Arabidopsis thaliana: one gene and its partner. The protein of the gene in region 2 purifies or fractionates together with the protein of the main gene of each other region. This does not show direct contact. Each region holds a gene or a part of one and is shown on either strand. Other genes may lie near its edges. The genes, in order: AT1G27695 and PDE320.

The links.
Region 1: the proteins of PDE320 (region 2) and AT1G27695 purify together in Arabidopsis thaliana (affinity purification with western blotting, with the first as the bait; one study listed by BioGRID). This does not show direct contact.

Annotation. Positions count from the first base shown.
Region 1 is NC_003070.9:9,636,954-9,640,878, reverse strand, and holds AT1G27695 (glycine-rich protein), read right to left. Parts: upstream 1,856-3,925; 5' UTR 1,757-1,855; intron 1,733-1,756; exon of another isoform or gene 1,672-1,732; 5' UTR 1,666-1,671; coding exon 1,626-1,665; intron 1,551-1,625; coding exon 1,506-1,550; intron 1,179-1,505; coding exon 1,146-1,178; intron 1,035-1,145; coding exon 877-1,034; 3' UTR 675-876; downstream 1-674. Other genes in the region: AT1G27700 (Syntaxin/t-SNARE family protein), read left to right, coding at 1-79, 174-360, 460-485; AT1G27690 (lipase, putative (DUF620)), read right to left, coding at 2,572-3,120, 3,204-3,554, 3,797-3,925.
Region 2 is NC_003074.8:2,194,876-2,198,800, forward strand, and holds the start of PDE320 (pigment defective 320), read right to left. Parts: upstream 1,707-3,925; 5' UTR 1,630-1,706; coding exon 1,346-1,629; intron 1,253-1,345; coding exon 988-1,252; intron 818-987; coding exon 463-817; coding exon of another isoform or gene 341-462; exon of another isoform or gene 149-340; coding exon 1-148. UniProt on the Arabidopsis thaliana protein: Involved in lipid transfer from the endoplasmic reticulum (ER) to plastids. Specifically binds phosphatidic acid (PtdOH).

The DNA of each region.
Region 1 (3,925 bases), on a different chromosome or scaffold from region 2:
GCATTGCAATAGAAAGTGGAAGGGTTTAGATCGTCAAGGAGACTCTGATGCTGCTTTATTACCTATCCAAGCTAACCAAGTAAGTTTGATCGATCGATCTCCAACCGCAAGATTTTTGCCTCCTGCTTTGAAAATCTTTGCTAAGAAATGCTTTTTATTTTTTTGTTTCTCAGCAAGATATGAATGGATGTTCAGAGAGGGGCAAGAGTTGTATGGAGTGTGAGGAGGACTGTTATGAAAAGCAGCTTCATGGTTGGTATGGAGCTCTACAGAGGCAACTCCAACGGTCTCAGTATCGAATGCGATATAGTAAATCGGTTCACGCTGCAATTTGGATTATTCTTTTAGTTTTTCTTATTGGTAAGATTTACTGAACTCTGAATCATTTATGTTTAGAACGCAAAGCTTACTGCATCACTTTTGAGTTTTGAGATAAATTGTTTTTTTTTCTGATTGCAGTGGTAGTTGCAGTGCATTCAATGTAGAAGAGAGGTTTGGAATAGCAAGGTTCGAGTTCATTCATCTTCTGTGTAACAGCGAAAGAGACGAATTTGGCAATCCACATTTTTACTGTACAGTAAATTCCAACTGTTTTTGGTTGTTTGTAATATAGAAATGCATTTTTTTGGTTCGATTATTTGAAACGGGTTTCATTGAGCAATCATTGTTTTCTTAGGCACCAATCCTATTAACCATTGTAGAATTATTTGGGACTAAACCCAAGATTGAAGTGGAACCTTCTAAAAATGACAATTCAGAATACAGAAATGCATTTCGTATTGGATTATTTGAAGTAACCGTTTCATTGAGAAATAAGAAAAGGTGTCAGAATTCTTTTACAATCAATCCGAGCAGAGTATTGAAGCACACGACTGCTTAAGTGGAGTTTTTGGACATGTTAGCCACCACCTCCTCCCGTTTATCGGCAGTCTCTAACTCGATGCCTTGAAATGTAAGTCTAGATGAACGATAGTGACTCCCAAACGCAGTCCCGAAACCCCACCCGAGGCCCAAACCCACCCCGCAACCGCCACCTTTGTCAAATACCAGACGCATAAGTTACGTAATTAGAATTTAGGAAAAACCTGCTCGGTGTGTATCTATGCGAGTGTGGGATATTTGAAGTAGAAGTTTGAAATGCTTACCAGCACCAACACCTAAGATGTTCATAGGCATTCCTGCATGAAAGCAACGGAAATCTCCAATTCAGTAGGTTTGCAAAATAGTATGAATCCATCAAAATGTAAGCGCAACTGATACTAGCTATGCGTTTAAGCAACCATTAGCTAGGAAAGAAGAAGCATTTGAGTAAAGATGATATGTAGGAGTTGATAATCTCTATAAGAGACATTAAGCAATATGATCACAAAACTAAACAAGCACAGCAGAGTGCATTGCACATCCCATAGCAACTAGCAAGAGAATTGTTCCAATAGAATTATCTTGTAATTCAGTCCAGATTTTGTTCAAGTAAAAGCAGAAAAAGAGAGAAGTTGAGAACGAACCTCCAAAACCCCATCCAACGCCAAATCCACAACCAACACCGAACCCTATGAATTCCAATAACTAAATTACGATTCCAATCAAAATTAAAAGGAGAAAACAATTGCGAATGGGGGCATTACCAAATCCAACACCGACTCCAGTGAAGTCAGAGAGCACCATAGTGATCTTCACAAGAAAAAAAAAGAAACCAATTTAGGAATCTATAAATTCAAATGAGCAGAAATTGCGAATCTGAATTACCCGATGATACCTTGTTTGTTGTTGGTAATCGGTGAATCTGGTAGATTGCTCTCTCTACCTCCCCCACTTAAAATCGCAAGCCCTGAAAGCAAGAGAAGAAAGGTGAAGACGATTTGTTTTAGAGACGTACCAAATTAATCGAACCGGTTTAACTAATGAACCGGGATTATTTTCAAAATGATTTTATGTAAAAGAATTTGGTCAACAGTGAACCGGCCTAATTCTTTTTCTCAAGGTCAACAACAGTCAACAGTAAAATAAAACGATCTAGTGAGCAAATGGATCAATCCATATGCAAAAATGCTCATGTCCCATTGAAATCCAACTCACAAATAGGATTTGGATGGTTGAGACAGACAAACAGATAAGTACTTATGGCCATTTTTTGGAGTAAACTAATGAGCAACGGTTTGAAATAGACAGTAGGAGGAGAAATAACATTTACTAGTTTGTGCTACAAAAGAAACTACACTCACACTATGAATTTATTGATATACAATACAAGGAAGATCGTATTCATCAGTTCCAATTGGTATGGATGACCAAGTAATATTTCTTTATACTATATGCTATTAGGTGAAATAGATGGGAGCTTCTATCATAGTATATGAAACAATATTATAAACTAAAAATTGGACTGACCTTACTAAGACTACACATTCCTAACATTATGCGGCAAAAAGAACGAACTTCTCCTGCTGTCTATTTACAACTTCAACGAAACTTCCTACAAGAATTTTAGCTTCGACAATAGCAAAAGTAAAATAACCGGTCTAGGGTTTGTTTTTGAATGAGTTATACACATTGATCTCCTGCTTCTTCACATCAACCATTTTTATGGCCGTGCAATGTCCTAATTTTGGGGCCTTGAGATAAGTCTTCAACGTGGGAATCAAATCTGAGTTCTGAAGGTGGAATGAAGCAATCTATAGACAAGCCAGGGACATTGAACGAGATTTCATCGATGACCCATGCTTCTTGCATTGTGGTCTTAGTGTTATGTCCTGATGACATATCTCCAAACCTTAAAAGCGTAGCCACGGATCTACCAGAGTGAGCTATCATGATACCTTCGACAGGTTTGTAGTCTTCTAGGTATGAGTTGATGGTCGTCTCCCAGTAAACCGCTTCGCCTCCATTGTTTTGGATTCGGGTTAGCTGGGAGTCTTCTAAGTGAACAAGCAGACCGGTTTTTTGGCTGAAGTAACCGAACAACGTATGTCTTATGGTCTCTGATGCCCCTTCGCTTCTAGCTTTGAGTGTTGCCGGGTCTGCACATAGCTTGAGAATGAAACAGTCTTCTCCATCGATCTTTTTTTCTCCTATGCACCTTGCATTTGCAAACATATACGCTGTGGTCCTCGGGTCAAGTCCCTGAAAGTTGACAACAGTAACAATTCAGTTATGCAAGCAAAGAAAAGTGTATGAGAAGGCTTCCTTGGGACAAGAGGCCTAACCTGCAGAGCACGTCGTAATGGTCTAACCGGTCCTTTTGCAGCATGAGGTCCAAGCCATGGTGTGTGTCTCCACACAAGCTTCCCGTCACAACCTGCAAGAACCTTGCTCCCACCAAGAACAAGCTCCATGTACCACATATCAGGATTCATATGCCACAACACAAATCCTCCAGACTCAACAGCTTTTGACGAATTATTCTTGCTCTTTGAACCTTTTGAGCCTGTCTCAAACTCTGAAGCCATCGTCCTGATTCTTCCCATAACATATCCATTTTGCACAGAACTATGAAGCTTTTGACCTCCTGATGCAGCCGTATACTGCTGAAGTATGTACTGAGCAGAGGAAGTCTCCTGAAAATTCAAGTATTAGTAAGAGTCATTAGACTTTACCCTCAACACATTAAAGCAGAGATAAAACTTGATAAATCTCAATTAATTGCGCAGTCTTTCTCCGTAATTAGTAGGCAACTAAAAGAAGATTCAGCTAAATTCAAGCTAGATTATGGCACAGAAGAGCTTAATTCAACATGATTAACTCCAAATCCCCAACACTGTCCTAATTTTGAGGAGACAACAGTGAATTAAGAGCTCACCATAGGTGTATTCTTGATACTGAGGTGTGGAAGGAGATCCAGAGCGCTAACGTGCACAGGACCTAAAGGTGCGCCAAGAACACCGAGGAGAAGCCTCAGATCCGTTCGTTTGAAATCCGAAGAGGACGA
Region 2 (3,925 bases):
GCTGTGAGTGATGCCCGCCCTAAGGCATCAGCCATGAATCCGGAATTTACAGATGGAAAATGAAGAGAGAACCCTCCAACACCCTCAGAATCATTTTCAAATTTTGATCTGATTGAATTTTCACCAAATGCTGCGGTCATCACAGAGCCTGTGGGATTAATGAAACTCTTAGTAACAGCACCAAAAAGATCATAAAAAAGACCCGTGCTTCCAAACCTGAAGGCTCAAGGCTCACTCATACATAAAATTTTCAATCAGAGGAAAACAAATTAGCTATTCAATAGTCGAAAGAAACCAAAATATCCCAAAAATTCCCATTTCCATCACTAGTTCTGTAACATCAAATATTGGAATTGGAGAACTCAAATGATAAGAGTTGAACAAAACTTATTAGAGAAATCACAAAACTTTCAGTCTTGACAATAAAATGCTTCTGAAATAAGTTGAAGAAACTTATCATACCGATAATCCCAGATACTGCGACATGAGGACTACTGAGGAAGACATCATAGGGCTTGCAAGTTTCGAGCTTTGGAGTGGTACCCCTCCAGAGATCCATGTTTGTCCTATAAGAGACTGCAGATTTCAGAGACAAACCAGGAAGCAGTGACGGTGGAGGCACTTCCATAGTATCAGAATGTAACTTCTTGGGTGATCCGCTGTTATGGTGTAAACATAAATGGTAACTTGGACCAGATTCAGCAGGAAGAGATGCTAGATCAATAGCCATTGAGAGTGGCACATCCCAATATTCACCATGTTTATCCACAAAAAGTCCAGGCCAAACCGCTTCTGCTGTCAGATTGTGAAGCGGAAACTGAAACCAACAAAAAATAGAGACGTGAGTCAGAACAAAGTGTAGCGGACTTCATTACCTCAGCAACCAATTGGTATGATCCAAATCAACAATGAATCACATTGCCAACCAAATAGTGAAATATTATTAACAGAGTCAAGAAATTGAAAAGAGGGTAACAGAGAAATTGCCTCGTGATTGAAGATAGCCTTAGCTCTAGGATTCTTATCGAGATCACCTTTGTAAGCATCATAGCTAAGAAGCAAAGTATCATCTGGTGATAACAAAAACTCAGAACAAAAACCCAATGCGTACAAAGATTTATCCTTCAAATGCTTGCCAATTGTGTTTAAACGAGAAGCTACTGTAGACGAAGACCCTCGACCAAAAGCTTTAGTCTTATCTATCTCCGTTACGAATCTCTGAACATCGAATTGGCCCAGAAGAGACACAAGCCTTGGGATTCACAAAAACAAAATAATTATCGAACTTTCACCGAAAGTATCAGAAAAAAAAAAAGTTAGGATTTTTGAATTTGGGGAGGTATACCAGTTGTTGGAGAAAGGAAGAGTGAGGACTCTTTGAAGAGAGAATCCACCACCGCCTCCATCTCCGGTGTTGGGACGGATAGGGGAGAAGGAAGGGATGAGAGGTGAGGCCATGAAGCGGTGGAAGAACTCAACTTGCTTAGGGCGAGATAGACGAGTGCCTCTAGAGAGACCTAGAGGAAGAGGATCGTCAGGAACAGCTCGTGCGGTGCCCTCGAGCGTCACCGGAGTTGACATATCGAGGTCCCAGATGTCTCCCTCTCCGACCCATCTCATTCTGTTCATCTCCGTCGTCTCCGCCGCCGTCGCTCGATTTCTACACCCAGCTGACCTGGAGATGACCAAACACACTCTTACTCTGGATTTGTTCGATAAACACCTTGCCGTTTTTGGTTTTCATAAGAAGAATGCTTCCCGTTTAATTAAACCGGCTTAAAGAACAAAGAAGGCGTCTAACGGTTAAAAGAATCGATTTATTCCGGTTATGGATTGAATTATTCGGTTTGAATAAAAGAGTAGGAACAAAGAAACTAGGAACTTTAGAAATTCATATCAATTCATTTGCCTCAAAAGCTTAAAATTCAATGTTTGCTATGGAATTACCAGTGTCTATGTAATGATTAAAATAACCGCAGCTAGCGACACATAATATCTCGATGCTTTTTTAATCTTTATTCTTTGTGAATAATATACAAATGTTTAGAAGAGAAAAGTTCTTTTTTAATGGTTGGTAGGGGGTGTTTCGTGCATGGTTCCTCTAGGATTCCAACTTGGTCAGGCTTATATATAAAAGGACCTTGAGTTTTGAACCCTAAACCATCAGACACACCTTCCTTCACATGCTTCTGTATCTTTAGATATATATACACACGCAAAATACATCCCTCTCTCTAAAACATCATAATGGGAGGTTCGTGGCGTTTCTTCTTTAGCTTCTTCGGCAGTTTCAAAGCGTGGTGGCGACGGAGACAGAGATCGAACCAGGCAGGAACGGACGATGAGATGTATGGTGAAGATAGTGAAGCCAACTTCTATAATTGGTACCTCGTTGAACCAGCTATTAACCGGAGATCCACTGATTTCATCAAAAGGTTCCACGAGACTCGTGACTGATTCCATCACCTTCTTATTCTTCTCTTCAGCTCTTGGAGTACGTAGTAGTTTGGAAGAAAATTTGTTTGTTTTTTCCGGTTTCGTCTCTGTAGTACGTGTTTTCTATGTGATTTCAATAAATATAATCCTCATTGGTCAAGTCTATCGAGTTGAATATTATGTGTGTTTTTCTCTACGTACCTTATTAATGCATACGACAATGATAAATCAATCGTTGGTTTGTGTTATATATCAAAGAAACACAAAAACAGTGGATATTTCTTGTAAAAAGTTAAATAATTATGGTTTTACATTACTTCACCTTATTCCAAAATGAATCTCAAACAAAGAAATGCATAATCAATGAGTCTCCACAGAAAAAAGGGAAGAAGCTTACTCCTTAAAAAAAAATTTAGTAAGTATAATTTTCACATGGGCTTGCATAAAGTTCCTTATGAGAAGATTGATTGTGATGCCTGTATAAGTATCGTAGAAGAATTAGTCCGCATATGATTGGTCAAATCTTAAACCAAAAGTGTGTATATATTTAGATAAGGATAATCGTTTTCTTCAAATAAAAGTGTCTTGGAAGGCGAGAAGATTGTTCTCCAGGTTAAACCCAAACATGGGATATGATTTTTCTGTTGTCTATATCAATTACTCTCGTTCATGTTGTTGTTATGAACTAATTACATTTACTATGAATCCTTTTGGATAATTTATTACTTCACTAGAGAAAGTTGAGGAGGTGTCTAATCATAAGTTTGCCAAATAATCAGTCATGTACGTTCTTATTATTATAGGGCGATATGCTCCAAATAATCGAAACCAAAACTCACTATCTTTATACAAAGCTTTTGGAAAAGAAAAACGAATATATGTTAGAAAGAAGAAGCTTTACTAGGCACGAATCGATACAAAAGCAATGAAAGAATCAGTCAGAGCTCGATATATATGCTTATAATCAAGAAGAAAGAAGATATTTGTTTCACTAAAACATATGCCTCTCTCTTTTTTTTTTAGTATTTTGTGTCCCAAACTTTAAGACAGCTTGAAAGCACTGCTTGGTGGTTAAGTATCAACATTCTATATATAGGCTTAGTCACTTTGTTACCTTTCTAAATTCTTACCTTCTCCGAAGCTTCTCACCTTTGTTTTTTTTTTTTTACCTTTTCGGAACATGTCCTAACTCATAGGCCTTTTACTTTACATTCCTCTTCGCTTATATGATGAGAGAAAAAAAAAAAAAAAATTGTTCACGTCCCTGAGGGTAATTTTAGCTTCAAAATTCATCTTTTAAATTAATTTTAAAATTTTAGTTTACTTACATACCTAAGTTTTCTTATAACTTAGCTTAATTTCAATAAAAACAATTTCAGGTCCGAATTCTTCTGTCCAAAAAAAGATCTATCCATGTTAGGTCTATATATAAGACTATAATCTTAGAGATGAATTAAATTTCGTCAGAATGTTGCATCTTTTGTTTACA